Struthio camelus: one gene and its partners. The protein of the gene in region 1 interacts with the protein of each later gene in a pairwise test. Links are inferred from orthologs where the notes say so. Each region holds a gene or a part of one and is shown on either strand. Other genes may lie near its edges. The genes, in order: TRIM54, CWF19L2, RABGEF1 and TBC1D22B.

What was found.
Region 2: the proteins of TRIM54 (region 1) and CWF19L2 interact in binary tests that used the Homo sapiens proteins (3 or more experiments, as listed by UniProt). The two-hybrid records come from large-scale screens. The link is inferred for Struthio camelus from reciprocal best matches to the Homo sapiens genes TRIM54 and CWF19L2.
Region 3: the proteins of TRIM54 (region 1) and RABGEF1 interact in binary tests that used the Homo sapiens proteins (3 or more experiments, as listed by UniProt). The two-hybrid records come from large-scale screens. The link is inferred for Struthio camelus from reciprocal best matches to the Homo sapiens genes TRIM54 and RABGEF1.
Region 4: the proteins of TRIM54 (region 1) and TBC1D22B interact in binary tests that used the Homo sapiens proteins (3 or more experiments, as listed by UniProt). The link is inferred for Struthio camelus from reciprocal best matches to the Homo sapiens genes TRIM54 and TBC1D22B.

Annotation. Positions count from the first base shown.
Region 1 is NC_090944.1:1,036,572-1,043,796, reverse strand, and holds the start of TRIM54 (tripartite motif-containing protein 54), read left to right. Parts: upstream 1-4,219; 5' UTR 4,220-4,301; coding exon 4,302-4,469; intron 4,470-6,020; coding exon 6,021-6,193; intron 6,194-7,225. Other genes in the region: DNAJC5G (dnaJ homolog subfamily C member 5G), read left to right, coding at 34-187, 826-908. UniProt on the Homo sapiens protein: May bind and stabilize microtubules during myotubes formation.
Region 2 is NC_090942.1:205,989,143-205,997,045, forward strand, and holds the start of CWF19L2 (CWF19-like protein 2), read left to right. Parts: upstream 1-4,898; 5' UTR 4,899-4,967; coding exon 4,968-5,051; intron 5,052-7,903.
Region 3 is NC_090957.1:15,661,069-15,668,594, forward strand, and holds the start of RABGEF1 (rab5 GDP/GTP exchange factor), read left to right. Parts: upstream 1-4,519; 5' UTR 4,520-4,858; intron 4,859-4,961; 5' UTR 4,962-4,981; coding exon 4,982-5,046; intron 5,047-6,603; exon of another isoform or gene 6,604-6,729; intron 6,730-7,526. UniProt on the Homo sapiens protein: Rab effector protein acting as linker between gamma-adaptin, RAB4A or RAB5A. Involved in endocytic membrane fusion and membrane trafficking of recycling endosomes. Stimulates nucleotide exchange on RAB5A. Can act as a ubiquitin ligase.
Region 4 is NC_090965.1:4,874,859-4,882,314, forward strand, and holds the start of TBC1D22B (TBC1 domain family member 22B), read left to right. Parts: upstream 1-4,454; 5' UTR 4,455-4,644; coding exon 4,645-4,700; intron 4,701-7,456. UniProt on the Homo sapiens protein: May act as a GTPase-activating protein for Rab family protein(s).

The DNA of each region.
Region 1 (7,225 bases):
CAGGTGTCTCACAGCGCGCCTGCCCCCGCGCAGGCCCTGGGTCTGTGCTGTGGTATCATCACCTGCTGTTGCTGCTGCTGCTGCTGCTGCTTCTGCTGCGGGAGGTGCCGACCACCTGAGGAGGACGAGTCCTACAAGTATGTCAACCCCGAAGACCTGGAGGCGCAGATCCGTGCGGAGGACAACAGTGAGTTAGGCAGTCTCTGTTCCCTTTTGTGTGCCCAGCTCCTGCGTCTGGGAGTGCCTGGCTTGCTCCTGCTGCACGGGGTTTCTGGGGGAGGTCTGGTCTTGTCTGGGGAGACCGGGCTCTTGTTAAACAGTAGGGTCTGACTTAGCATCATCTGCTGCTCAAGGGCTGACGCTTGGTGTTTCCAGCTTGGGTCTTGGCTGGTGGCAGCTGGTAGAGGGAACTCTTGCGCAGGGTTCATGGAGAATATCTTGTGCTTCCTTGATTTCCCTTGGGAAAGGTCTCCCTGAAGGCACAGCTCTGGGATCTAGAAATCCTTGGGGAAGGAGCGTGGGGAGAGCAGCCGTGCTCTAGGCTGGTCCCATTCCCAGTGCTGGTAGGCAGTGGCTGTGCTGGTATCTACAATCTGAAATACTCTGGGATTTGGAGTGATCCTGGTCATCTCTGCAGGCTTCCCTGGGGTAGGGGGCACTGCTGGAGTGGCTGCGCGCTGGCTGGAGGTGTGGGCCCTTGTCAGATGGGGCTGGAGAGCTGTGGTTCGTGGGAGGCTGAATGAGGGTGCTGGGATGTCACAAGCAGCTGTTTCCTGGCACCGCAGCATGGGATTTAGCCGCTGACCTGCAGGTCTTCTTTTCCAGATGTGCAGACACCTATTGTGGCCCAGCCCCCACCTGCTGGAGCAGAGCCGTCGCCGGGTGTCAGCACCAAGACGGACGCATGAGGCTGGCCTCAGCCCCGCCAACAGCCCCAGGACTCTGGGCAGGGATCCCCCTTTGGGACTGTCCCTCTCCAGGACCCCTGTCGTGCCACCCAGGGTGGCTGTCCAGCCTCACTGTGGCTAGAATCTCAGGTTAAATTAGCCAGCATCAGTGCAGAGGCTCTTGTGCCCCTGTTCGAGCTCCACAGAGATACCCTGCATCCCCGCACTGGCAACAGAGGTGGCCTGGAGCCCCTTGCTGCTGTGCCCCATCCGCAGTGCCTCTTCTGCTGCTGTGTCCCAGCCCAGCCCTGGGCGCTAGCTCTCAGGTGAGGCCCCGCTGAAGGCAGACTGGATCCACTGTGACTGGACTAAGACTGGAGAGGCCGGGACTGGCTCCCTGCTGGGACCAGCCCGGTGCGTGGCCTGGCCGCTCACCAGCAGCACCGGGCGCCCCGGCCCGTGTGCGCCTCGGCCCCTTGCTGCCCTGCTGGCTCTGGCTTGACTGGGGGCCGCTGCTTGCGGCTGTGGCGGCAGCCCGTTGCCAGAGCCGGTTGCTTTCCTTGGGGCCCAGCAGCGCGCGGAGGCCGCCTGGCCCAGGCTCCGCAGCCTGCAGGAAGCGGCCGAGGGTATTAGAGACCATTAGCACTGTAATCCCTGGGGCTGGGCTGAGCCCGCTACCTGCCCACGTGGGGACCCTCCTTACGGGTGCTGGGTGCCAAACGCCGCTCGCGGGGCTGGGGTGCGGCCTTCTGTACCTCCTTGCTCTGTGCCCCCGTGGTCGCGGGGCGCCGGCTGCACCCCCTTCTGCCTGTTGCTGGCAGGCTCCCTGCAGGGCTGGGCCCAGGCACAGGCACTTTCCTTGGGTTTGTATAGGTTTTATGGGCACCATTAAAGGATGATGGGAGGGGAACATGTTTCTGTGTGGTCTCTACCCCGGCAAGAGCCGCCTGAACGCTCTCAGGCGGTGGGACGTGCCCTTCCCTGGCTCTGCCCTGCTCTGGCTGAGAGCCGTGGCCGTACCATAGGGGTGGCGGGCCGAGGAAGGGTCGGTGGGTCGCAGCCCGAGTGCTGCCAGAGGGGACAGTTGGCGACAGGAGTGAAAGTTGTTCTGCCTCCTGTCAGCTTCCGGGGAGAGCTCCGCGCCCTCCCGAGGGTGCTGCCCAGCAGGGCTCCAGGCCTTTCCCGGGCCCTGCGGCTGGGCTGGGCAGGGCAGTCCCAGGGCAGCCGGAGCCAGGCTGGGGCACCCTGGTCCTGCTGGGCTAACGGGGGCGCTGGGAGCTCCAGCACCCACCGGTGCGCGAAGGGACTTGTCCTTCCTCCTGCTGCCGACACGCTGTGCCGCGGCCGCCCTCTTCCCCCTCCTGCCCGGGGCGGGAGGCAGACTGTGGCCCTACAGCCCTGTGCGGCCTGGATCTGTCCCCGTGCCGCTGGATGAGGCGCTGGGGTGCCAGGCTGGCGCGCCGGGGCTGAGGCAGCGCCCGCAGCGGTGCGGCGTGCCCCTGCGCAAGGGCCAGGCCTGCTCTGCGCCTGCCAGAAACAGCTCGGCCCCCCCGGCTCCGCTTCCACCGCTGGCAGCGCGTGTGCCAGCTGATGGCTCCGCGTGCGTGTCCCGGATGGTCCCTGCCCTGTGCCAGGCTGGGAGAAGGGGCGAGCGGGCTGCCCTGGCCCTTGTCTCCCAGCCTGCAGCTGTGCGCGCTGCCTCACCCACTAAATATAGCCGGAGTGTCAGGGCAAGCGGTGCGGGACGGGGGTGTCCCTGGCACCAGTGTTGGCGGGCGTTTTTCCATGTCGGTGCTTGGGGGGGGCTGGCTCTGGCCAGGGCTCACGGGACCCGAGCCTGCTCCCAGCTCCGTTATCTCCCGGGAAGGGCATGTACCCTCCCCGAGTTGGGCAAGAACCTGGCCGCCAGGCAGCTTTGTTCCTCCTGGGCCTGGCGGGCGGCTGAGCTCTGCTGACCCTGTGCCAGCCTGGCTGGAGCCTCCTCCCCACCCTGCTGCCTCGGCCCGGGCAGGGGCCCCGGCCCCGGCCCCGTCTTTGTTCCTGTGGGGGGGGGCTGCAGGGGAGCCCTGCTGCCCTGAGGGTCCCCAGGGAGCAGCTGGCCTGTCCCAGGGGAGCAGTGCAGGCAGCACAGGGGGGGTCTGCCCCACCGCGCGCTCGAGGCCGGCTGCGAGGGGGGAGGCAGCCCTGGGTCCTGGGATTGGGAGCGGGGATGGCACCTGGGAATGGCGCCCGGCATGGTCCCCTGCTGTGCTGCGTGGGCTGGGGAAGGGACTGGCAGGGGGTGGTGGTGTCCTTGCCTTCAGGCCAGGGGCTGCCGCTGGCCCCGTGGGGCTGTGCCCCCGCAGCTGGCCGGGATCCGGAGCAGAGGCAGAGACAGGGCTGGGGGGCCGGGATGGGGTGGTCCTGGGGGGGACGGAGTGCGGGGCCAGGGGGACCGGGATGGCATGGTCCCGGGGGTGATGGGGTGCGGGGCTGGGGGGGCCGGGATGGGGTGGTCCCGGGGGGGACGGAGTGCGGGGCCAGGGGGACCGGGATGGGGTGGTCCCGGGGGGACGGGGCATGGGGCTGAGGGGGGCCAGGGGGACCTGCCGAGGGCCGGCCACGGAGGGCAGCCGGGGCAGGGGAGCGGGGCCGGGCGCGTAGCCCCGGGGGGCGTTGCGGCCCCCTCCGGGCGCCGTGACTCAGTGTCACCCGACGCCGCTGACAGCTGCCGCGGCCCCGCGCAGGCCCCGGGCGGCTAAAATTAGCGCGGGCGCAGCGGGGCGAGCGTGGGGCAGCGGGGCCGGAGTGAGAGCGGGGCCGGCAGCGGGGCGAGCGTGGGGCAGCGGGGCCGGAGCGAGAGCGGGGCCGGCAGCGGGGCGAGCGTGGGACAGCGGAACCGGAGCGGAGCCGGGAGCAGAGCCGGAGCCGGGAGCGGGGCCGGAGCGGAACCGGAGCGGGGCCGGGAGCAGAGCCGGAGCCGGGAGCGGGGCCGGAGCGGAACCGGAGCGGAGCCGGGAGCAGAGCCGGAGCCGGGAGCGGGGCCGGAGCGGGGCCGGGAGCGGAGCCGGGAGCGGGGCCGGAGCGGGGCCGGAGCGGGGCCGGAGCGGAACCGGAGCGGGGCCGGGAGCGGAGCCGGGAGCGGGGCCGGAGCGGGGCCGGAGCGGGGCCGGAGCGGAACCGGAGCGGGGCAGGAGCGGGGCCGGAGCGGAGCCGGGAGCAGAGCCGGAGCCGGGAGCGGGGCCGGAGCGGAACCGGAGCGGGGCCGGGAGCGGAGCCGGGAGCGGGGCCGGAGCGGGGCCGGAGCGGAACCGGAGCGGAACCGGAGCGGGGCCGGAGCGGAGCCGGGAGCGGGGCCGGAGCGGAACCGGAGCGGAGCCGGAGAGGAGCCGGGAGCGGGCCGGGCCGGGCCGGGCCGAGGAGGGCACCGCGGCGATGAACTTCGCGGTGGGGCTGAAGCCGCTGCTGGCGGAGGCGCGGAGCATGGAGAGCCTGGAGAAGCAGCTCATCTGCCCCATCTGCCTGGAGATGTTCACCAAGCCCGTGGTCATCCTGCCCTGCCAGCACAACCTCTGCCGCAAGTGCGCCAACGACGTCTTCCAGGTGCGGGGCGGCCGGGAAGGGGGCCGGAGCCGACCGCGACCCACCGGCGGGGTTGGGGGGCAGTGAGACCCCGACCCACCGGCAGGGGGGGGCAGTGAGACCCCGACCCCCCGGCGGGAGGTGGGGGACAGTGTGACCCTGACCGGCTGGGAAGGGGGCCGGAGCAGACCCCGACCCCCCGGCGGGGTTGGGGGGCAGTGAGACCCCGACCCACCGGCGGGAGGTGGGGGGCAGTGTGACCCTGACCGGCTGGGAAGGGGGCCGGAGCAGACCCCGACCCCCCGGCGGGGTTGGGGGGCAGTGAGACCCCGACCCACTGGCGGGAGGTGGGGGGCAGTGTGACCCTGACCGGCTGGGAAGGGGGCCGGAGCAGACCCCGACCCCCCGGCGGGGTTGGGGGGCAGTGAGACCCCGACCCACCGGCGGGAGGTGGGGGGCAGTGTGACCCTGACCGGCTGGGAAGGGGGCCGGAGCAGACCCCGACCCCCCGGCGGGGTTGGGGGGCAGTGAGACCCCGACCCCCCGGCGGGAGGTGGGGGGCAGTGTGACCCTGACCGGCTGGGAAGGGGGCCGGAGCAGACCCCGACCCCCCGGCGGGGTTGGGGGGCAGTGAGACCCCGACCCACTGGCGGGAGGTGGGGGGCAGTGTGACCCTGACCGGCCGGGAAGGGGGCCGGAGCAGACCCCGACCCCCCGGCGGGGTTGGGGGGCAGTGAGACCCCGACCCACTGGCGGGAGGTGGGGGGCAGTGTGACCCTGACCGGCCGGGAAGGGGGCCGGAGCAGACCCCGACCCCCCGGCGGGGTTGGGGGGCAGTGAGACCCCGACCCACTGGCGGGAGGTGGGGGGCAGTGTGACCCTGACCGGCCGGGAAGGGGGCCGGAGCAGACCCCGACCCCCCGGCGGGGTTGGGGGGCAGTGAGACCCCGACCCCCCGGCGGGAGGTGGGGGGCAGTGTGACCCTGACCGGCTGGGAAGGGGGCCGGAGCAGACCCCGACCCCCCGGCGGGGTTGGGGGGCAGTGAGACCCCGACCCCCCGGCGGGAGGTGGGGGGCAGTGTGACCCTGACCGGCCGGGAAGGGGGCCGGAGCAGACCCCGACCCCCCGGCGGGGTTGGGGGGCAGTGAGACCCCGACCCACTGGCGGGAGGTGGGGGGCAGTGTGACCCTGACCGGCTGGGAAGGGGGCCGGAGCAGACCCCGACCCACCGGCGGAGGTGGGGGTTAGCAAGACCCCGACCCACCGGCGGGAGGTGGGGGGCAGTGAGACCCCGACCACCGGCGGGGGGGGCAGTGAGACCCTGACCGGCCGGGAAGGGGGCCGGAGCAGACCCCGACCCCCCGGCGGGGTTGGGGGGCAGTGTGACCCTGACCGGCCGGGAAGGGGGCCGGAGCCCGTGTCGGCCGGCGGCGGCGGGGCGCAGGGCTGCCCGCTCCCCCCGCTCCAGCTCCCGTCCCGGGGCGGCCGGGGGAGAGGGGCTGCCGGTGCCCCGGGGGGGGGGTCCCGTGTGCCTCGGGGGGCCTGTGACCCCCCCCGTCCCCCCTCCCCAGGCGTCCAACCCGCTGTGGCAGTCGCGGGGCTCCAGCGCGGTGCCGTCGGGGGGCCGGTTCCGGTGCCCGTCGTGCCGCCACGAGGTGGTGCTGGACCGGCACGGGGTGTACGGGCTGCAGCGCAACCTGCTCGTGGAGAACATCATCGACATCTACAAGCAGGAGTCGGCCAGGTGCGGCCGGCCCCGGGGAGCCCACGGGGGAGCCCACGGGGGTGACCGAGCCCCGTGGATCTAAGGGTGCCCACGGGGGAGCCTGGGGTGGCACCGGAGGAGCCCACGGGGGGAGCCCACGGGGGTGACCGAGCCCCGTGGATCTAAGGGAGCCCACGGGGGAGCCCACGGGGGAGCCCACGGGGGAGCCCACTGGGGCAGCCGGGGGTGGCACCGGGGGAGCCCACGGGGGGAGCCCACGGGGGTGACCGAGCCCCGTGGATCTTAGGGTGCCCACGGGGGAGCCTGGGATGCCACCAGGGGAGCCCACGGGGGGAGCCCACGGGGGTAACCGAGCCCCGTGGATCTAAGGGAGCCCACGGGGGAGCCTGGGGTGGCACCGGGGGAGCCCATGGGGGGAGCCCACGGGGGTGACCGAGCCCCGTGGATCTGAGGGCGCCCACGGGGGGGAGCCAGGGGTGGCACCTGGGGAGCTCACAGGGGGAGCCCACTGGGGGATCCTGGGGTAACCGAGCCCTGTGGATCTAAGGGTGCCCACGGGGGAGCCTGGGGTGGCACCGGGGGAGCCCATGGGGGGAGCCCACGGGGGTAACCGAGCCCCGTGGATCTAAGGGTGCCCACGGGGGAGCCTGGGGTGGCACCGGGGAAGCCCACGGGGGGAGCCCAGGGTGACCGAGCCCTGTGGATCTAAGGGTGCCCACGGGGGAGCCTGGGGTGGCACCAGGGGAGCCCACGGGGGGAGCCCACGGGGGTGACCGAGCCCCGTGAATCTAAGGGTGCCCACGGGGGAGCCTGGGGTGGCACCGGGGAAGCCCACGGGGGGAGCCCAGGGTGACCGAGCCCTGTGGATCTAAGGGAGCCCACGGGGGAGCCTGGGGTGGCACCGGGGGAGCCCACGGGGGGAGCCCACGGGGGTGACCGAGCCCCGTGGATCTAAGGGTGCCCACGGGGGAGCCAGGGGTGGCACCGGGGAAGCCCACGGGGGGAGCCCAGGGTGACCGAGCCCTGTGGATCTAAGGGAGCCCACGGGGG
Region 2 (7,903 bases), on another chromosome or scaffold:
ATTCGACACCATAATATAAGCTTACTTGGTGTTGCCAGTGTGTTTCCAAAAGCAGGGCCCTCGAGGGTGATTTGTGTTTGAAAATGGGGTGAGTGGCAAGATAAACTGAATAGTGTTACCCTCTGCAAAGGATTTGCTGTCAAGAACTGTGACAAAGACTGTGGCTTGGGAGGTCAGGCACATTACTCAGACAGTAGTTACAGCTGTTTCTGGGTCAAGGGCTGAGACAAGGATTGGGTATGAAATTGCCCTTCCCTCTTAACACAATGCTGTAAAATAAAGAAAAATGAAAAGCAATTCCAGGAACTGTTCGGTGAAATTGGAGAGGAGCAAATTGCCTGAGCTGCTGCCAAGAGAGACAATTATGGACATTCTCTGTGGCAGACAAATTCTCTTTACAATTATCATTACAGTGCTGTAGTGCCTTGGAGCCCTTCCCATGGAGTAAGACCTCACTGGTCTCAAAAATTTTTTTCAGTGAGCATTCTCCATTTCATTAGAGAAAGCATTTCCTGCTGTACTCCCATCCCCACAGGTTTTTTGAATCTCTATTGCAATGAAGGATAGATCGTCCTATGATACTTTCACACCTTGAGCCTTGCTCGGGGCACAGCAGCGGCTTTCTTCAGTGTGTGTTTCCTATTCTGATAAAATCTTTTGTTTTCGACTCACAAAAAGAAAAAAAAGCATGCAAAAGCCCCACAAGAAACGTGCTGAACAAATGATCGTTTCGCATGTGTAACGGTACCATTTGCACTTCCTCACAAAACATTTATTAGTCAGTAGTTGTCACTAGAGAATTTCCCAAAGAACATCTCTTGCTATTACCGTCATGCACCTGGGGTGGGGAGAGACAAAATGGATGTATTTCTAAACCTCTTCCCCCTGCTCTTTCTGACCATAGTTGGAGAGAGAACTTGTTTTCAAAGTAGCTGAGCAAATTAACAAAATAGCAGTTGCTTGGGAGCAGACAACTCATGTTTTGCTATTGAATATTGAACAATGGGTGAAATCATTCTTCGATCCCTTACACTCCCCTCATTCATCTTCCCTGTAAAGTGGGTCTCTTTTCCAAGGCAGGCTGTCAGTATCATCAATGTCACAGCGGCTCTTTTGTTGCTGCTGGGACCGCTCTTTTTGATGGACAGTAGAAATTTGTCTGGTTTTTCAATTCAGGCCCTCATTGCACAATTCAGGCAAGAGAAACCAATCACCTGGATGTTGCTACTGCATTGATTTTTGGGCAAGGCATTCTGTCATTTTGTGGCACAGTTGCTTTCAATCTCTGCTGAGGAAACTTAGTAACATTTCTATAAAAGAAAAATACTTCCTTCCATAAAAAAATTTCCATTTGTCCATACTTTTTTCATTCTTTGTTCTTTTCCATAATTTCTCAAGGGACTGCGTTTTCTGTTTCTTAACTGAGCCATTGAAAATGTCCATCCCAGTCTAAGTGATCCCTCAGAACCTAATATAAATGACTACGCAGTAGAAACGGCAAGTGAAAACTGGGTGGTTTGAAAAATGAACAGAATGAGAACTGACTGAAAGTCAGTCCATCCTGACTTATGTGAACCTGCCCTCCATCCGCTCCCCAGCATCCTGTTAGATATTGTGCTTCAGAATGGTGTTAAAATCCAGATAAGAACCTCCCCCTAGCAGTAAGCTGGATTTATCCATTACCTTGCAGCTTCACCGCTGCGGCAAAAAAAGTTTCGTGCTCTCAAAGAACTCCTTTCCCGAGTGAAACACTGCCCTTTGCTTAAAGGAAACTGTGCAGAATCGCACTGAGTGGAGAGGATTTTTTCCAGCCTTTTTCATATAAAAATAAAACGTCAAATGGAGCCCTAAAGGCAAGCAGTGAAAGTTAGCAGCATGGAGGTTTATAACACAGGTCCGCTGGAGAATCGCTAGCTTGACCGTGCAGCTTATTTGAGGGAAAGTGTAAAATGTGTTGTTACATGGGAAATAGTAATTCACTCTGCAAGGTCAGTGCCTCTCTGTGGGGGTTCAGGAAAGAGCAGTAACTCTGGAACATTATTGTTCTATTAGTATGTTTAATTTTGGCAGTGTGAATAAGATGACTGAGCAGAGGTGTCCTGCTGACCATTACAAGCTGTATACCAAAGACTTGTTCTCTAGGTTCACTGCAGATTTCTGAGCATGTGAGCAAGTCTCAGAAATACTAATATGTTAAAATAAATGAGACTGAAGTTTCATTTTACTCTGCTTCCTCTGAGAAAACCCTTTTCTTGGATGAGGAGAGGAAATGAGGTAAAATTGTCATCCCTTTCCTAACTGTTGACCCCATACATTAAAGTCATCTCTCAAAAATCACAAGATGGCAGAATGATTCTATTTTAAAAATAGCTTTTGAATTTTAATTGCTTTTCAATTTTTGCCCTTCTAGAGTGCATTTGTATCATTGTTTCTCCTCTAAAATCATGAATATTGGAAACTTGAATTGAAATGAAAATTTACAGTATTACCTTATTACATGATGCAGAGGGTTATGAATATCAAGAATAATACTGAATATTGCAAAAGCTTACACACTGTTTCAAGCTCTCTTCTTTGTCTGTAACTTGAGGTTGTGGAAAACACATTTCCTGTTCTGACTGCAGCTGCTGGTAGAAGAAGCTATTGTCCACAGCAGTTGCAAACCACACTCGTGTCATAGTTACTGGCCTTTCTCTTCTCATGCAGTTCTTCCAAACACTTCTTAAATTGTTTCAGTCAGAACTGGTTGGTTTGGCTCACGGACTAACAATTTGCTCTTTAGCTTAAATATAAGCCCATGAAGCCAATATACCTGACTGCGCATGAAGAGGGTTAGGGAGTACGCACCTGAACTGCTGGCTGCCTGGAGGAAGTGGTAAAATCTGGGAGGGAAAAGACCCAGTGTATCAGTAAAGAGCATACATCACGATGAGCACAGGCTTTCCTTTCTGGGCAAGACCTGCGCTGTTCTTGCTTCTCCTCTCTCAGCCACAGTTGAGAGTCTTTTGCTGTATAAAGCTAAGGAATGAGCACAGCGTTTGTCAAAGCTGCTGGAATGTCCCTTGTATCCGCCCACTTACTTTGTTAATTGCTTCCTAAAGGGGGCTGATGTGCTACTTTTTCATGCAATGGCTATTAAGCTCTATCAGTTATGATTCTCTGCCTAGTGGTGATCTACGACAGGTTTTTCTTCAGAAGATGCTGCTAATTGTCATAGCATAAAGTGAACAAAGATGCAAATATGATTTACACATTGAATACCATCATGGAGATGATTATTCAGTCAGCGTTACCACTTTTAAAACATACTATCCAATGCAAATAGCTAATGAATTACCCCAACATTTTGCTCAGACTTTAACCCAAATAATGTTACTATTATTTGGCAACTGTGATTACGTTTGGTGGCAGACACACAGTAATGATTTGATCTTGTCCCAGAGAAATTGTGTGTCAGTTAAATACTTGCTTCACCTGAGATTTAGCAGCCCCTGTCATATACTATTGGCCAACTGCAACTTGTATGTACTTGAACACATTTTTTAAAGTTGCGCTTCTCCTGTCCAGACAGGTATTGAGCATTGGCAACCTGCCAGCTATAGAAGCCATATGTTAGCCATATGGAAGCCCCAAACTGGCTGCAAATGGAAGAGAAAGTGGCTGGAAGATAGTTCTGAAGACGGATCGTAGCAACGGGGAGCATCAGGCGCTATGTGGAGTCTGGGGGAGTCTGTTGAGCCACATCTTTCCCTTGCACAGTTCTCCTTAATCTGGGCTCCAGATGAGAAGTCCGAGGCTCAGGTAGAGTCCTTTTGGGCAGCAGCAGCACCTAAGGCTGGAATTCGGCCTTCCCATACCAATACTCTGTATTCATGGCCCTGTGAGTCAAGCGCCCACTAAGCTGTGTGTGCCATGACATGACATATTTGCTGTGACATTGACCTGGCAGGCTGTGGAACGTCTCCTAGAAGTTGGTGTGTGTGTGTGTGTGTGTGTGTGTGTGTGTGTGTGTGTGTGTGTGTGTGTGTGTACGTCTGTAGGTTTGAGTATGAGGTCTGGAGCAGGGCTGCGGGCCTCGGGCACTCACATGTCCCGGCACCAGCAACTGGGGACAGCGGGGATCCTGGGGGCAGCTCCTGGAAAGGCTGAGTGTCTACGGGCAGCTGCTGGAGGGATCCACATCGTATGTTTATGTATATATATGAGCTTTCCACTAATAGGCTTTCATTCTGATGAGCTGGTGAGTGGAACAGCATGAGGCCATCAGCGCTGCTTGTTTGCGCGAGTGCTGTTGTCCGTCGGCGTTCACCTCTGTGGCCACGTTCATATACGTTCATATATTGTATATATTCATATATATGCACGTGCTGTATGCACGCTAATTGGGAATAGGTGCTCAGCCCAGGCTGCACCTGGGCACAGGGGGGTGCGGCAGCCCCTCTCTCTCTCGGGCTGCCGGATGTGGCAGCTCCGAACGGAACTGCCCTTTTCTCGCAGGGGGAAAATGGCGGTTTGCCCTAGCAGCAGGGCAGCACCGAGACAGCCGCAGGCCCTTACACAGCCCTAACCCTGCCCTACGGAAACCTTTCGCGCGGTGCCAGCAACGCGCCTGGCCCGCGGGCGGGCTGCCCGCTTCCTGCGGCGCTTTCGCTTAGAAACCCTTTTTTTATTCTTTTTTTTTTTCCCGGATCATCCGTGCTGCCACGCCCCTCGCCCCGCCCCCGCCGCAGCGCCCCGCCCCAGTTCCACTGCCCCTCGCCCCGCCCCCGCCGCAGCGCCCCGCCCCAGTTCCACTGCCCCATCGCCCCGCCCCCGCCTCAGCGCCCCGCCCCTCGCCCCGGAATCCCCGCCCCTCTCCCCGCCCCAACCCCAGTGCACCGCCCCTCGCCCGCGCAGCTCCCAGCCGTTGTTTACGACAGCGCCGTGCGTGCGGTGAAGCTGCCCGGCGGCTGCTTTACGGCCGGGCCATGGCGTCGGAGCTGGAGGGCGAGGCGCGGGTGGCGGCGCGCAAGGAGCAGAGGCGGCGGGAACGGGAGGCGCTGCTGGCACAGGTGGGACCCCCGGCCTCTCCCCCCTTGCCGGGCAGAGCCTCTCCTCCCTCCGGGCAGCTGTGCCGTGGCGTACCCGCGGCGAGGGGAGGCCTCGGCCGGCGGCCTCCTTCTGCCCGGCCCCGAGGGCGGCCCTGCCCGCGTCCGGGCCCGGTCACGGCGGCCGGGGGCTCCGGGGGGAGAGCTCGAGCCCCTTCTCCCCTAGGGAGAGCCTTGTGCTGTCTGGCCAAAAAGGGGGGCTGGACCGCATCACCGGCAGTGACGAAAAGCTTTTCATTGGCAGCGGCCTCAGTTTATGTGTTTTGCCATTTACAGTGGTATTGATCCGTTCGGTATTTCACTTATCGTGTATGCCAATTCTTACATTTAAAGGCAATGTTTATAAGAAAATTAGGCAAGTCAGTGAACAGCAGCAACTTTGCCAGAACACTTTCATTTCCTCTTTGAAATCAAAGAAGTTCATGAGTATAAGAATAGTAAAGGAGCGTTTTGCATGACGTCTGGAGCCTATGGAAAGCTCTGTGTAAAAAGTTAACTTGGAATACCTTGGGTAACAGATTGCACTGAATATCCCTGTTCCTCTCGATGGCTTTCTTAATAAATAATGTTGAAATGCAGCTCTTCAGAGAAAACTCTATTGCTTGGTGCCATGATGCATTGAACTGCCCTGTCCTTCTCATTTTATAGAAAGTCCCGTTCACATCCCACTTTTACAAGATCAGATTGCGCTGTATAATGTTTATTTTAAGATTTGTTGAAACCAAGTAGTTGCTGTTCTTAATCATGCTTAGGAATACTTGAGAGCTAGCCAGAAAACAGAGCTTGTTGTACTTGGCACTATACAAATACAAGGTAGTATAACTTCAGAGAGTTTATATAGACAGAATAGCCACCAAGTGAAGCAACAGATATAACACCAGCTTGATGACTTCCTAGGGAAATGTATGTGCTTATAATTTATTTTTTCTTCAGAAGGTAATATAATGGGTAGGTAACAACTTGGACAGAAATGGGAGAGCCTGTTTTCGTGGAGCCAAGATATTAACTGATTGGTTACATCTTGCTGTAGCGTGAGCCAAGAGTTGGAAGTCTCCCTCTCATAGATGTTTTTGTCAAGTTGCTGCTACTATGAGAGCTATGTTAGATTTTATTTGAAGCCTGCTCATATGCTATCTTTGATACTTGTGCTGTAAGCTGCTGATTCTTGGTATGCATGTAGAGTGCATCCAAGTAGAGTGAATGATAAAGTAGTAAATGTCATGTTTGTTCCGTTGCATGATTTATTTTGAAGTTTAAGGACTAGGAGATAACTACATAGAAAGAAAAGTGAAGAAAAGAGTAAGAGGAGAACTGTTAAGGAAAAAGTCTAAAGTTGTGGTGACGGACTTTCAAGAGAAGGAAGACTAAAGTAAGCAGCAAACAAATCTTACTGGACAATACTGTTTTCAGAAAAAAAAGGAATTGGAAAGTGGCCTGAATATCCCAAGCGGCCTACAGGGTAGCGATGTTCTTCCTCAAGGTAAAGTCAGAGAGAAGACTAGAAGTAATATGTTGTGTGGGTATCTCCCTTGCACAGTTAGGGATCTAGGAGCGTTCTAGTGGAATATAGTAGGCGATAGGATTTCCCTTAAGTAACTTATTTGTTGAGTGGGATGTAATTACACTGATTCTGTGCTGTAGGAAGGGTGCATTACAACCTTGAATCTTTTCCGCCTTTTGACAAGCAGTTAAAGGAAATTCCTTTGACTTGGTAATAGTAAATAGTACCATCCTGTGAAAGTTTTACTTTTCATTTTGTTTTGCATTTTTCGCTACATTTAAGTTGTTACTAGGACTCCTGCTTTGCTCAGTTCAACCTCTTGGGTCTTCAGAAAATACTTTTAACTGGGAATGTTATGTAGGCTGCCATTTTCCTATCTCACATTTTCTTCCCACTTGCTGCTGCTTGTACTGCAAGCTCTCTGGGACAATTTTAAAAACCTTTTACTCATTTTACCTCTCATTTTAAAAACCTTTTACTACTACAGTAGCAGTAGTTTATTAAATAACCATATTCCTTCTTTTTATTTCCTTCAACATACGTCAGCAGTTTAATATGAAATAAAGTTCTTCTGTGAAGATGTTTGCAAATTTTTGGTGTAATTTCCCTTCCCGAATACCTGTGGGTGATTTCACTTCTTTTGTTCGTATCTGTAAAATACTGTTAATTTTGACTCATAGATACAAAAACATCACAAAAGTGTTTAATGTTATAGTAACGGGATTGTGATATTAATTATGCTGCAATCTCTGAAAAAGCTCATTTGCAGGTAGCTTTAACCTGTCATCATGCCCGTTTAAGTTCAGGGAGACACAGTAAAGCTCAGGAATTGGTTTTGGTTGCAGTAGTGTTGGAGAAATGCTACAGCAATGAAATAAAGCAGCTGTCATAGAGGAAAAGGTTGAAGTGGCTGATGTGAACGCTTAGTCGTCCAGAGCATGTGAAGTAAGAGGTGGTGAAGGTGGTTTTGCCAGGGTTTGAGTTGGTACTAGAAAGCACAATATCTTGAGCGCACTGGCTACAGTTCCACTGTTAGGATGTCTCGAAGTCCTTGATGATACTGTAGCCTTGTAGGTCCTAACTGTCTGTTCCACCCATTCTTATAGGTTTGGATGCTGTTCTTCAGCTTTGTTGAAGACTATTAGAAAAAACATGTTCTGAGGTTTTAGGATGAAACTAAATCTAAATCCTTGCCATCAGAAAAAGAAGGACAAAGCGGAAAACAGACAAACCAAAAACCTAACCTCTTCTTGACAGCACTCCCTGAAGTTTTATGTAGGAAAAAATTGCAAATGGGAAATTGTTTTTTTTTGTT
Region 3 (7,526 bases), on another chromosome or scaffold:
AGCAAAATTGCTGTTTCCGATCACGTTTGCAATTTCTTAACATTCATGCACTGATATTTTATAACTTTTTCCTGTTTATTACTTAAAAACCAAAACAAGTAAGGAAGAATATCTAATCCAAAAGATGAAAATTAAAATCTTGGCCTGTATCAGTTGCATCTTAATTGAAACTTTCATTCTTCAGATTCTCCAGAAGACAGGAAACATTAAGTGCAATATTAAAAAAGAAAACACAGATGTGAGCCAACAGGCTTTCATTAAACACATACAGTCTGTGTCTTGTGATTTGTGCAAGTTAACAATATTGTTATTGACTACACTTGTTTTAAGCAGTCTTTGTTTACAGTGATTTAGATGATATTGCCTAATATGTATTCGTTTTTTGACAGAAACAGAAGAGTTGTGCAGGAGGATGTCAGGGGAATATAATAACTGGTTTATGTAACATTATTGACTTATCTTTTCTTGGCATATAGCATAATTTTTGAAATTCTTCGTTTGCAACGAAAATGTGAGTAGCTGATTACTAAATCCATGTTTAAGATGATTGATGTTTTTGTATATCATGAATGCTATATGATTGTCTAATTAAACTAAATGCTTATGTAATACTGCTTTTTTTTTTCTTTACTTTGGTATGTTTCTTCATGTCTACTTAGGCCAGAGACTTGCTAGAACATTCCTACCTATTTCTCTATGCTGCTCTTATTTGATTTTTCCACAACTTTAATATCTACATAACTGCTTTTCCACCACCACCCCTAAATCCTGTGCGAGCTGATACCATGCTCTTGGACAAATTGGTCATGCAGTAAATGGTTTCATGTCATCAGTATAATTTTGATATGACTGTTGTGTACAGATTATCGAAAAGACAATACATGTCAGTCCATTTAGCTTATTCAACTTGAAGGAGAGATACTTCTCAGTTAGCTTTCTGGGACAGGATGCATGCCATTTTTGGTTCCTAAATGATGTACAGAAACATGCATATAATAAGCAACTCCCCCCCCCCCGATTCCCCCCAAATAAAAATTCTCAAATATTTTCAAAGCACAAATTGCATATCTGGATTGCAGTGATTTCTCTGCGTTTTTTTTTTTTTTTTTGAATAACGGGGTAATGGTGGGACAGTTGAGGGGTAATTATTTGAAAAGTAGAACCGTTGGCTGTTTTTAGGTTGCTGCATGTCTAAACAGTTAACAAGACTCGTCTTGTAATGTCCCCTGTGTATGTAGTGGTTTTTAACATGGAGCGAAAAGAGATCCTTTTATCAGCTCTGACATTAAGTGACTTGGCCAGTTTCACTGCACATTAAGCATGTTTTTGCATTGGTTTGGCATTTGTAAAATGAGGATACCTACTCATTTTTGTAAAGCACTCAAGAAATGACATGAGAAGATCTTTATGTGCAGTGCTGTGTGTTCAACGTGTATGTAATGTGTCCACTTAATGACTGTTGATTTCAAGAGTTACAAGAAAGGGCAACATTAGCTTTTCAACTTGGTGTGAGCTTCTTAACTTGAATACCACAATACTCTATACAGTGATCTGAGGTACTCGTTCCTGACTCTGCATTCTTGGAGGAGAGTGAAGGTGCTAGCGTCGTTTATCTGACAAGCCTTTGAGCCATTAGGAGATTCGCTCTTGTCTTCCTGGCGCATGTTTTCTTTTGAGGCTGCTCGATGTTTTTTGCAAGCCCGTTTTAACCCAAACCTGCAATCAGTGATCGGTCTCTGCACTGGTGAGGGGGCTTTTTTTTTTTTTTTTAATTTAGTAATGTATTGACACCTACAATATAGCGTATACGAATACATGAATTTGCTGGTATGGATATTTTTGTGATTTTGTTGTTGTTGTCCCGTTCTGTTACCCCTCCCGACCCCCTTCCCCCAAACTACCATGAGAGTTAAGGGAAAGTTCAGCATCAGGTGTCTGAAAAAGCCTCCTTGTTCTTTAGACACCCCCCCAACCCCGTCTGGTAAAAACACTTATCCCAGAGGTGTTCAATATATGGAAAGGCAAAGGCTATTACAGTTATAGGCGCTCTTACTTAACAATGAGTCCATTGAACGAGTTCGTACTCGATAATCCAACTGCAGCCTCCGTTCCGGCGCTCTGCTTAGATGAGTGTCACTTCAGCAGCGAAACGAAGTAGTCACGGGGTTGGATGTGGTTAGTACAAGTCCTTGAAAGGAAAAGTCAGAGACTTCTAGTTACAGGAGAAATGCACTGATTTGTGTAAGCACGTAATCGGCCTTTACTAAAGGGATTGTTAAAATTCCAGTAAACGCTGAAAGATGTCAAGATTTGCAACTGTTTTAAGTGTTTGCTATGTTAAACAGTAATACGTTCTGAGCCGAGTTGTTTCAATGCATGTATTGCACATCAGGGAAGCTGGCCAGTTCTCTTATTTATGTTTCCCGGTATATCTGTGTTTTTCTTGGTGAATCTTGAAGGCCGCTGAGGCTGCTGATCGCTGCCCCGCAGAAGTGAGTGTTTCAAGCGTATCCTGCGCATTAAGCGTGCGCCGTTTATTGCAAAAATGAAAGTGAGAGGGATTTAGTTCTGCAGTGTGTTTTCCCCAGGGATACTCCTCATCGGCCCCGAAGGAGGACTTCAGTGAGATCCTGCTCCACACCCCCCCCCATTTCCACTTTTCTGATGAAGTGTAAGTGGCAGAAGGAGATCAAGTGTCCGGCCTGAAGATTCGCAGTGAGATAATGACTCTTGAGTGGATTTCCTCTTGGTCCCTGCCCTTTGCTCTAACCCTTAAGAAGCATGGCTCTAAGGGCAGGAAGTTTACTACTACTGTCTGCTGCACCCTCAAATTTGTTTGCAAGGTGAACTGCCAGTCCGTTTTAACCTAAAGGGATTCTCTTTAGTATTACAAGCTAGTGACTGATAGTTGCTAAAGAATCAGTGAAATTCTCAGGACTGACAAAAATATCTGAATAAATTAATAAAAAAATGTATTTCATAATCCCATTAATTTCACTCTTCCATTTCATTTTTTACTAAAGAGTTAAAAAATTAAAACCTTAAGACTTCTTTTTGTTAAACAGAGATACATATTTAGGCTAGGCGCTTGTATTTTACGATTTTGAGGGTCTTGTTGATTGCTTGCTTAAGAGCTGGAGGATAACTGCATGAACTGCCTTCTGTGGTTCTCTCTTTTTTTGTTTTGTGTTTAAAGTTATCAGTATAGTAAATGGTCGTGATTTCCTAAGTCCATGGGGCATTACTGAATTAGCAACCGCTGGGAACCTTCCTGCCCAATTTTATTTTCACTGCTCGTTCTTGTTTATAGATGACCCGGGACGGGTGACCTGATGGGAAAGATGACAGAAGTGCCAACAGGGCAAGTCTCATATCAGAGCTGATCGTTTGTATGGTACAGTGGTTTTTTGGTTTGTTTGTTTTATTTCAACTCTGGTGAGGTGTGAGGCAGAGGAACGTTCATCACCGCTTATCTGTGAGGTCAGTCAGAGGATCCAGTCTTTCTGGAAGCTGGACAGCCCAGCTGTCCTGGCCTGTGTTCATCCATTTCCCCACCTAAGTATTGTGATGTATCAAGTTAGGTGGCCTTGGATTGAACTGGGAAATACAGCAATGACTGGGGAGGTGGCTGCTGGGTCATCCTACTTGAATTTCAGCAGCAGTTGTTCAGAGGTTTGAGGACCTTTATGCCACCACTTGCAGAGTGGATGTTTCTTTTCTGCATGGCAATAGTAATTAAAGCTTGGGACACAGTTGCCCGGCAGACCAGACTGCCGAGCAAAGAATGTAGAAAGATCATTTCTGAACTCATCATAACCTGTGGGGCATGCTCTTTCTTTCATCATCCTCGTTTTAGGAGCTGTGGGCGGTCTGTAGACCCCGGTGGCTTTAAGTATTGATTGGCCTTACTGAGCCTTGGAGTTGCATTGATCTTTTTGGTTATTTATGGCTGCCCCATTGCATGTGTTTTAGGTTGTTCATGCACAGCAGAGGGGACCTAGGATAGTTCCGAGTTCTAGGCTATGGGAACATCATTTGATTTTAAAAAAATAAACCGTCCGGTTTTTCATTCTCTTTCTGCAAATAAGCTATGTTTCAGAGGATAATTACATTTTGTTATTTATTTCTGTGTATAGGTATCTTTACTGGAAGTTGCTTTCCAGAACAATTCTTAATCCTTTTACTTACACAAGTTTAGTATAAGTTTACCTATACTTTCACTGTGACTTTTATAAATGGATTTTATTTTGCTGAATTATAAATTGTATGTCTCTATGCATTGTTAGCCCTTAATGCCTTTGAAAATCCAGTCTGGATGCTAAGGATTGGAATTATCTCCAAATGTGTTTTATTTTAAATAAGTTGTTGTGTGATGTTTAATACTGTAGGTACGGTAGCATTTTATTTACTACATTTAGCTCTTCAGTTCAGGTAAAGTATATAATGATGTATTTTTATTTAAAATATATAGATGATGTGTATATAAAGTTTGTGTTGTGAAATAAAAGTATGTTAAACAGAAAACTGTTGGAATCTGGCTAATCTGGTTCACAAGTATTACACTCACTCCCCCTTTTCATTTTCCATGTGAACAGAGTTTGACTTGCATGACTGGAAATGAAATTTGAGACACCAGACTCTCTCGAGCTTTTCTCTAATAGCACCAACCAGTAACTTGTTCATCATCACTTCCTTAACAGATGGCACTTATGCAGCGTCTGCAGTCTCCTCAGGGAGACAAACTTGTATCAGACAGATAATTCGAGTTGTACTTCCTTCCCTACATACCCACCCATTCATGTGAGAGCGCGCCGAGGTCTGAGCAGCTTTCTCCACTTGTGTAATGCTACAGAAAAAAGTAAGATACCGCATTTGCTGAGCTGACTGGGTTCAATGGGGAGTTTTTTTTTTCAGAAGTAACTAAAATACCATTTTCTTGCTATTCTTTTGTCTTACTAAAGTAACACTTGCTTTCAAAACCATGTGCCCATGGAGGGGAAGGAGGGGCGGGGAAGACGACAGCGAAACGGCTAAACAGCAGTCACGGTAACTATTTCTGTTCCTGCTGCCATCAGCATACATAAAACTCCTAAGCATTCGTGTGAGCTGTCTGATCTGGAAAATGCCTGTGTTGTGATTTAAAAACAAAGCTGTTGGGAGTTGGTTTACTGTGCCTAAAAGGAGAGCAGGGATGCCTGTGTTCAAATGTTGTTTCTGCTCCTTCCAAGACAGCGAAGAGGACCCCCAAAGACATGTAGGTTCTCCCAAAGAATGAGAGAGAATCTCCCTATTCTCTCCCATTCTTTGGGACAAACTGTTCGGAACAAACTGTTCCTATTTCCAGCTTGTATCTAACGCAGAGAGTGTGGAACAGCCCTGATGTTGTGGTCCCGAGACCACGTTTGAGTCAGGCGTGTGTGGTAGCTCTGTTCTTGTCTCCAGGCCAGGCCGCTCGGAATACAGCTAATGAAAATCATCCTTTCTCCCGAATCTGCAGACTTCTAGTCTAGCATTAATCCCTTCCTACGAGATTGCTGTTCCCTCAAGGGTCTCTCAGGTAACAAGGATTTCTTCAGTAGGCTCGGTGGGTTCTCGCAAAGGTTTTGCTTTGTCAACCTGTAACAGAAGCTGATTCAAGTAATTCAACCAGCTTCAGAGCGTAGTCTGTTCTGTTGTGAACGCGCCGTAAAAAAACCGCTGTGCTTGTACCCTGCCTAGCCGTAACCAGCGTCGAGCTGCCACAACCCAGCTGAGCTGATCTAGCAGTTTGCTGCGGCTGACCGGGGAACTTCTGCTGCTTCTCCAGCATCGGCTTTGACGCTTGTCTGGCTCCTCAGTGAGCTAGTTCAGTTTGTTACCCCGACAGAAAATTTAGCCCTGAAAACTGAATGAATTGCTCACAGTTGTTTCCAGCTTATTCCCTGGGTTGGGCAGGTCGCGCCGCACCGCTCGCAGCGCGCTCTCAGTCTGGGCACGACCCTTTCCGTAGGGACAGCTTTGACGAGCTTTTGGCAGCCTTTTCCAGCGTGGTCGAGCTCTGTGGTCAAGCATCAGTGTTTTTTACATGCCAGTGATTTTGAGTTTCCCTTTTCTCAGCTCTTGCAGCGCGTTTGGGGCGAAGGAGCCTTTCTTCGCAGGCGCAGCGTCTGAAGGCCTGCGGTGTTCTTTCCTCTTGGTGTTTTAACGGCCGTTGCAGGCTGCGCGGCCCGGCCACGCCTCGGCGCCTGGGTCACGGCGCCGCCAGAACCTCGGCCTTCCGGCTGGCCCTCGGCAGCTTTGTGGCGGCGGCCGGGAAGCAGCCGTTTGCCGGCCCTCGGCGTAAGCCCGCTGCGTTCGCGCGGCGCCTCGCAGCGCGGCGCTTGGGCCGCCGCCCTTTGCCCTCCGCTGGGGAGCGGGCGGCGAGCGCCCAAGCGCCAGCTTCCCCCCGCTGCCAGCAGCGCTAAAACGAAGGGAAAAGCCGTTCACTGGCGACGTTTTAACCAAGAACGGCATGACTGCAACCGCTGGCGCCTGCCCGGGCGCCGCCTTCGCGCCTCCCTGCGCCCGGCGGCGGCTGAGGCCCGGCGCGCTCAGCGCACCTTCCGCGGCCCCGCCCCGCCCCCCGGAAGGGAAGTGACGTAGGCGCCCTTCCGCCGAGAGGAGGAAGCGCCGGGAGGGCAGCGCCGCCGCCGCCGCCGCCGCGGGAGGAGCAGCGCGAGCGGGGCGGGAGGGCCGGGGCCGCCGCCGCCGGTGAGATGGGGCCGGGGCCGGGGCCGGGGCCGCCGCCCTCCCTCCCTCCCTCCCTCCTCGCCGCGGCCGAGAGCGTGGAGCCCTCTCGGCGTTGCCGGCGTCTCGGCCGCTGTCGCGGGCGCCGGCGGCTGTGGGAGCATCCGGCCCGGTGCTCGGGCCGCCGCCTCGAAGCAGGGGGCGGTTGTGTTTGCCGGGAGGGAGGGAGGGAGGGAGGGAACCGTCGGCAGGTTTCCGGCTGGCCGGGAGCGAGGACGGAGCTGGCCGGGTGTGGTTCGGCACCATCTTAAGTCCCCTGCGGTTGGGGCTGCCGCGGTCCCCGCGCTGGGGCCTGTGCGGCTGGATGGAGCGGGGCTGGGGCGGCGGGGCGGCAGCTCTGGCTCCAGCCCGGTGCTGCCGCCCTCTCTCACGCTGTTCTGGGTCAGTCGCAAAGTTAGGAAGTGACCTTCGAAGTGGTGCTTCGTATCGGCAGCGCCTTATATCAGTACTGGGCGGGGGGGTCTGTGCCGGCCGGTTCTTGGTGTTTGCGGTTACCTGAGAGCCCCTTCAGTCGATAAGGGACTTCAGAGACTAGCGATCTCTCCGCTTAAGAGGAACCAGCATCTTACAGGGACAGAGCTTGCCTCAGGAGTCGAATGCGCTGGCCTTCTGGGCAGGGTTACACAGGTGTTTTGCGGGGAGAGGATTAGGAAGAGGACGGTAGCTTGATGCAGTGTTTTCCTGGTGAAAATCAAAGTGGTGCGCAGTAGAAGAAAATATAGGAGTGTGAAGCCAAATGTACCAATTCAGAAGATCGCTTT
Region 4 (7,456 bases), on another chromosome or scaffold:
TGGCCCAAGACCGTGGGGAGAAGGGGCTGGAGGAGAGGAAAAGGCCCTTTTAGCCACCCCCACCCCCCCATGCACAAGCACATACGTGGGTTGGGGGGGGGTTACACTTAAATATTAATGTCAACAAGCTAAAACATGAGGGGCCGTGCGGTATGGCACTGTTGGGAAGCAGGTGAAGGGAGGGACCCCGGGCCGGACGGTTCGGTTCCTCCTCCCTGCGACTCGCCAGCGAGGACTCGCTGTCCTTTGGGGCCATCAGCCACCATAAGAGAGGACAAGAGGTTGGTCCTGTCCTATAGTCCCCCTCCACGGTCCTCCCGGGAGCCAGATGGGACAAAACCTTGGGACTTATCCAGCAGGGAGCGATTCTGAGCCAGCGCTGCTCTCCCATCTCCCTTGCATGACTCTCTATGGCTCCCCGGTTTCGGCCAGGATCTTGGAGTACCTGCAACGTGGAAAGCAAAAACAAAAAGATGAAACAGGACCAGGATGAGATTTCAGGCCATTCGGCCTCCCGTTCCGGGAGCGCCGAGAACTTGCCAAGGGCCAGCACTCATCACGCCTCTGCCTTCCTTGAGCAACGGATGGGACTACCGGCTACAGCTGTAAACATCTGTCCCCAGCTGAAGGCGCTCGGCCGTTTGGAAAGGACTGGCCGGGGGGGGGGGCCTGGAGTCACCCCGGGAGGCAGAGCAAAAGGGATGTGTATTTTGCACATTATTTTTCCGGGGACCGGAGACTAACAACAGCCAAAGGCCTGACACGGCTGAAAAAACGCACGCGAGCACCGGGCAGAAAAGCTACCCGGGGAGCGGGCCAGGCTCGTCGCAGGGACCGCCTAACTGGTTCACCTCCGGCAGGGCAGGCGACTCCGAGGGAGCTTGCCCCGCGTCCCGTCACGAGGAAAACATCCAGCTGCCCCCGAGGCGGCAGCCGAAACCCCGCGGCCAGGGCCCTTCTCGGCACGGTGAGTCACACCAGCTATTTTAAACGCCGGCCTTAGGAGGAGATGAATTATCAGCAAACCAGGTGTCCCACGGCTTCGGCTCCCTGGTCACGAAGCCTCGTGGAAGTCGGTCTCCGAGCGCTTTCCGGACGTCCTATGTGGCAACAGCGTCATCTCCGCAGGGCACGTGGGGAAACTGAGGCACGGCGCCCTGACCCGCTGGAGATCTTCGGCGGCTGAGCTTCAGAGCGGGGCTGCCCTATCGCTGCCGCAGGTGAAGCGATAGCCATGGGGAAGCGCCAACAGCCAGTGAAAGCGAGCGCTTCCCGGCTTTCTTTACGGGCGCCCGGGCTCTCCGCACACGCGGCGCCCAGGGGAGCGCGGCCGGCCAGGTCGCGGCAAAGGATGCAGAAGCCGAGCATCCCTCCGCAGGCTCAGGAAAAAAAAACAGTTTGCCGGTAACAGCAAATTTGGGCTCGGGCTTAGCCCCCGCCGTGCACGTTAGGTCTGAGTTAGGGGTGTCCCGGGGGCCAGCATCTGGTGTCCCGTCCCAGGCCGCCGCCGAAAACCCCGTGCTGTGCCAGGTGCCGGTTTCGGGCAGCTGGAGCCCTGCTCGTGACCCGAGTCTCGTGTTTCGGCTCGGTGAAGCCACGCGGGGTTGACACTGACCTTCCTGAGAGCGGGGTCTGACCTAGCCCGGCCTCTGTTACACCCCGAAAGGGCATCACTCGTCCCTAGCGTTGGTGGGGTTTTGCCTGAGGAAAAAAACACTTTGTTCGGGTTAAAAAAAAAAAAAAAAGAAAAAGAAAAAAACCTTTCCACTGCGTAAAGTTGAGTCAAAATTAGCAAAAGGGCGGATCAAAGCGATTCTTTCACCTTCTCCCAGGCTTTTTGTGCCCTTCCTCCAGGGTAATATTTTGATGTCCTTAACCACTGTGTTTTTTTTCCGGTTAGGAGGGGGTTAAGCGACCTGAAAAATGAAACAAAAGCTCTTGTTTCAAACCGAAGCAGCCATTTCAGTTACCCTGAAAGGACAGGCGGGCGGGCGGGCGGGAGCGCGGGTGCCTTCGAAAGGGGAGAGCGGGTTGCGGGGAAGGCGATCCGGCCCCGCCGCCGCCGCCGCCAAGCCTGTGAGAAAAACAGCAGCAGCGAAACGTCATTTCAGGTCAAGCCGCGCCGAGAAACGGGGCCGGGCGGCGGCGGGGCGAGCGGGAGGCTTCGCGGCCCTCCCAGCCCTCTCGGCGAGGCCAGGACCCCCCCCGCGGCCTCCTGAGCCGCCGGTACCTACTCCCACCCCCCCGGCGGAAACCGCCCCCGCGCTCCCCACCGCGCTGCGCCCGTGCCCCGCGACAGCGGTAGTCTCCGTGCGGGGCTGCTGCTGGTAGCAGCTTGCTCCGTGTGTCCCCCCCCACCCCGCCGGCGCACGTGCGCGCCCATGGGTGCGCGAGCGCTTCGGTCCGTGTAGGTGCCCCCCCCCCCCCAAACCATGTGGGTTTGGGTCGGTTTGGCCCCGGTTGGTGACTGCAGTCGCCAGCTGAGACCGGACGGCAATCAACACGCTCGGCTGGGGATGCTGAGGATTTGAGCTCGGTCCTTGGCATCCCTCCCCACCACCCCGTCCGCTGGGTGGGTTTTCTCTCCTGCTCGGCTTTTTTTTTGGGGGGGGGGGAACAGAGCAGGGACCAGGAGCCACCTTCCCCTGCCGGGGCGGAGGGGGACGCTCTCTTGTTCCCCTAGCAGGGTGTCTGCAAGCAAAGTCTTTGATAAAGGCAGTAAACGAAGCAGGAGAAGATGATCTGTGAATCGCAGCGGAAAAGCGGGAGGTACGACTCCTCCACCAAGCAGCTCTGCCTCCGGCCGGCGGCAGCCACGCGCATCCCCCCCCCAGCCGAGACGGAGGGGAGCGCCGACAACCGGGGGACGAGGGGCCGCTGAAAGGGCCCTAGGACAGACGGACAGACTCTCTGGCCGGCTCCGACCCCCTCCACGGGCCGGTTTCCCTTTCTCCGCGCGCAAGACACCCAGCTGCCCACCGCCAGCAGCGGGGCTCGCAGGTGCTCGGGCCGAGGAGCCGTGCCGTGTCTGAGCCCCGGCGGCCCTGTCCCGCCTCAGGGCCCAAACTCCTTGCGGAAACGTTGGGAGCGAGACCTCCCTCGCAGGATGAAGTGATTTGCGGGCCGACGTTTTTAACCATGCGCAAAGCCTGGGGACGAAGGAGCGACTCTTGCACCCTGGATGCCCTCACGTGCGGACCGGGTCCCTTCGGGGAACTTTGCTCGCCCAAGGCACCAAGCTCCTGACCAGCAGGGCTGTGATCTCCCCGCGCCTGGGAGCCTTGAAACGCACTGGGGTTTTGTTTTTTTTTGTTTTTTTTTTTGCTAGCGATGAGTTTCCCTTCTCCGCTAGAGCCTCGGCCTGGGAAAGGGAAGCGATTCTTCTCTCTCTGGGCTTTCGTTCTAGCCTGGAACCGAAAGCTACAGGCTCGCTTCCCCCAGAAACCTCTGCCCGCGCCTCAAGAGCGGCCGGCGGAGAGGGGAAGAGCCATGGCGGGTTACGGCTAGGCACCCGGCTGCCAGGCCAGGCCGGGCGGCGCAGCCAGCCACGGGCCTGTGCCGCCCTCTGCCGTCAGCCGCCCACCGGCCGGAATAAGGCGGAAAAATAAATTAAATAAATAAAGCAGAAATGTGCTGTGAAACACGCTGTGTTTTTCCTAGTTTATCCCCCCCCCCCCCCCGCTCCACCCCGTGTCTATTGGGCGGGTGGCATTTGGAGGCGCCTCACGCCTTGCCCCATGATGGCGCTTCCCCCCCCCACCCTGCTTGTCCTTATGAGGGGACAACCCTGACAGCAGGTTCCTGTGGCACGACCGAGGGGCTGGAAATGGCCCCAAATGGCCTCAAATCCTTGAGGGTGCCATAAAAACCGTCGTGCCAGGCCAGCCGCCCCGAGGCGGGACAGGGATTCTGTCACGGCCCAGCCCTGACAGGCGCCCTCCCCCCCCCCCGCCGTGCGCATGGTACAGCCCCCCCCGCGCCCCGTAGATGGTTTAACCCGCTCCCTCCCCCGGCCGGCCGTTTACCCGCCTCTCCTCTCTGCCACCCCCCCGCCTTCTCCCGATGGTTTCGCCCACTCCCCCCCCCCCCCACGCAAGAGGCTTGACGAGTCTGCCCCCTCTCCTCCCACCCCGCAGTGGAAATGGTCTGTCCCCTTCCCCAGCGCGACGTTTAACTCTATCCGCCCGCCCTCCCGTCTCCCGCGCGGATGGCTTCTCCCTGTTTCCCAGCCCAGGGAGGCAGCTCCGCCTCATAGCCGATTTTGGGTCCCCTCTATTCCCCTCAGTGGGAATGGTTCGCTCCATCCTCCCCCCCACCCGGGGCGGAGATGGTTTATCCCCTCCTGCCCCGCATATGGTCTCTCCCGCCTCTTGCAGCCCCGTCCCAACTCCTGCTCGCCCCGCCCCTTCCCGCTGGCGATTGGCCGAGCCGCAACGCCTTGAGCGAAGCGGCCAATGGCGGCCCTTCCCATGCCCGGATCCAAGATGGCGCCGCCGGGAGCTGCGGGAGGGTGGCGGTGAGGCGGCCTGCGGGGGGCCGCCGCGTTCCTCCGCGCTCCGCCGCTCCCGCCGCGGGGCCGGCCGGCCGGTGGGCTAGCTGGCTGGCTCGCTGGCTGGCCGGCCGGCCGGGGCCCGCCCCTCCGCCATGGCAGCCGAGAGCGGCCGGCAGTTCTGGAAGCGGAGCGCCAAGCTGCCGGGCAGGTGAGTGCGGGGGGCCGGGCCGGGCCGGGGCGGCGGGTGGCAGCGGCCCCTTCCCCACAGGCCCGGGGGGGGGGCGGCGAGGCCGTGTCCTCCCGGCTGGGGGGCCGGGGCAGCGCATGGCCGAGAGGAGGGGCGGGGGGGCAGGAGTCATGTCCCCCCCCCCCCCGGCTATGACTTCGTCTTGAGGGGCAGCGTAGCCCCCTGCTTGGGGGGGGGGCGGGACAACCCCTCGGCTGTGGGGCGGGGGGGGGGGGCTGCGATGGTAGGGGGTGTCAGGGCATCCCTTCCGGCTATGGAATGGGAGAAGTGGGGCTGAGGGACCCGGAGTAGCCCCCCTGCCCTGGGGAAGGGGTGCCCATGGCAGCCCCCCCGGCTATGGGGCAGGGAGGGGGCGGCCTGAGGGGCCCCCCTGTAATGGGAGAGGGTGCTGGGAACAGCCCTCCTGGCAATGGGGGTGAGTTGGGCTGGGGAGGCCCCCCAATAGAAAGGGGGTGTCAGGATTGTCCTTTCATCTGTGGGGCAGGAGAGTTTGTGTGGGGGCTGTGGGGAGCCCCACCTGCACCCCTGCCCCATGGAAAGCATTGCGGAGGGTGTCAGGGCCTTGTAAGGCTCCTCCTGTAGCCGGGCTGCCTCTGGGGCAGCCCTGGAGCCAGGGCTGAAACATGCTCATCTCCACAGATGTTGAAGAAGCCTTCTCCTTTTCCGAAGCCCTTAGCGGTGTCTCCTTGGGCAGCAGCTCCCCTGTCCCAAACAGGTGCCCCTACCGAAACAGGTGCCCCCCTCCTTATCCTCTGCTACGTGGGGTGTCACTCCTGGTCCACCTCTTCCTGATACCCTGCTGTTTTTGACAGTCCCTCCACTGTTTGGGCCTGTGGGGCATCCCTGTGTGCACCTCCCCTGCTTGGTTTCCTCCGGGTGTGGTGTCCTGTTTCCTGTTGAGGCATCTGTGTTCACCTGCGGGTGGGAGAGGGGAATGAGTAAAATGTCTTGCTCAAGCAGAGCAAGAGGAAGGGGCTGGTGGCGATGAAGGAGATGCTTCCTACATGGCCTTGAGAGCAAGGTTCCTGTATGGAGGCAGTGTCCAGGGAGGGTGGGGAGAGGGCACCCACCTCTCTGAGGAGGTTTTCACAAGTTACGTTTTAGTTCGATACTCCTCAGTCTTTCTACTATATTCGTGCTCCTGTTTGCCTTATCTGAACCCTGCTGCCCCCTCCTGATGTGCACTCTGAAATGCTTAGCTGGCTTTAAATCCTGCTAGGCCAGTTAATTCTCTTTCTAATGTGCTTTCACTCTTAGTCTTTGCTGCTGCTCCAGCTCCCTCAGGTTTGTGGGACAGTCCAGATCTGTGTCAAGCAAAGGGCGAGCAGTAAGCATAGCATGTTCTTCTTTTCTTCATGGGGGAAGAAAATGCAGTGCCATCCATGGGTGTTTTCTTCTCCCTGTTGGTGACCACCTTTGTCAGGAGGTCCCAGCTGTGCTTCCAGCTGGTGGTCTCTACGACAGCATCTCTCTTCCACGGCTGATGACTTTGGGCTTCAGCTTGGAAAGCCCAGACTAGATGAACCGGTTTGGGAGGCAGTCAGTCGTGCCTAGACAATGAGCTTCAGCGTCAAGTATTTGGCAGAGTTCTTCCCTCCTCCTAACAGGCTAATTTGCAAGTATCCGTCTGTCGCCTGGTGTCAGGCAGGCTGGTTGCCACCTTTAAATATCCTGTGTACCTGTCCTTCCCAGGGGCAGTTACTTACAGGGATCTTGGAGACCTCATTCCTAATGGACAACGCAACTGCAAAGGGTGGAAGTCGGACGTGCTGTGTCCATGGTCACTAGATGTGATGCTCCCTTTCCAATTTTTGGTCTGGACTTTGAGAGATCTTCCCATGCAGATTCTTGACTCTTTCCATTCTTTGCCCTGACAAGCTCACAGAGGAGGGCTTTGTAAAGATTTGGAGACAGTGTTAGGTTCCTTTTCTGTGATATTTTGTGAATTTGGTTGCTTAGTTTTATTAGCTTTTACTTGGTGCTTTTTCTTTGGAGACGTAGTGTTGTGGCACTACTAGTAAATGCTGTTTCATGTTGCCAGTAACGTCTTGTGTTCTCACAGTGGGAATTCTCACTCCAGTAAGTTTTTAGGAGTGCTTTGTCAGGTTGGTTTAGCATGTTATCCTGTGGGGTGCATTCTGATTATTTCCTGCTTTTCAGAGAAATGGGCGGCAAGACACCAGGGAGTTTTATTTAATTGCTGTTTTAAAAGGGGAGATGCAGGCTCCACTGGGAATAAAATATGTTCTGTCTCTGGAATGGCACCGAGGTTTCATGGATATGCTTTCTGCTGCAGTGTCACTAACCCAAACACTGTTATGATCTGCTCATGAGAAGTGTAAAGCAGATAGCACAGCGGAGACTGGGAGGCTGTTGTACGGGGCACTGAAGGTACAGGTAATGAGAAATGCCTTGTCCCAAAGAGCATGAACTAAAATAGAAGAGTGCAATGGACTGACTTGTCCAGCCAGTTCAGTGGCACAGATCTGAGGACATGGTTTAGGACTCAACTCCTGACCCAGTGGTGTGTGTGCTGAAATGTAGTGCCTGCATTGAGCTTTCCGTCCATGCAACAGTCGGATGAAGACAGCTAGAGACAAAGTTCATCTGGGGATGCTCCATTCATCTAGCAGAGCTGAGGTGCTAGATGGGAGGTGGGGGGGGGGGGAACAGACACGAGTGAGTAAATAAATGTTTACTGAGCATCACTTGGGGGT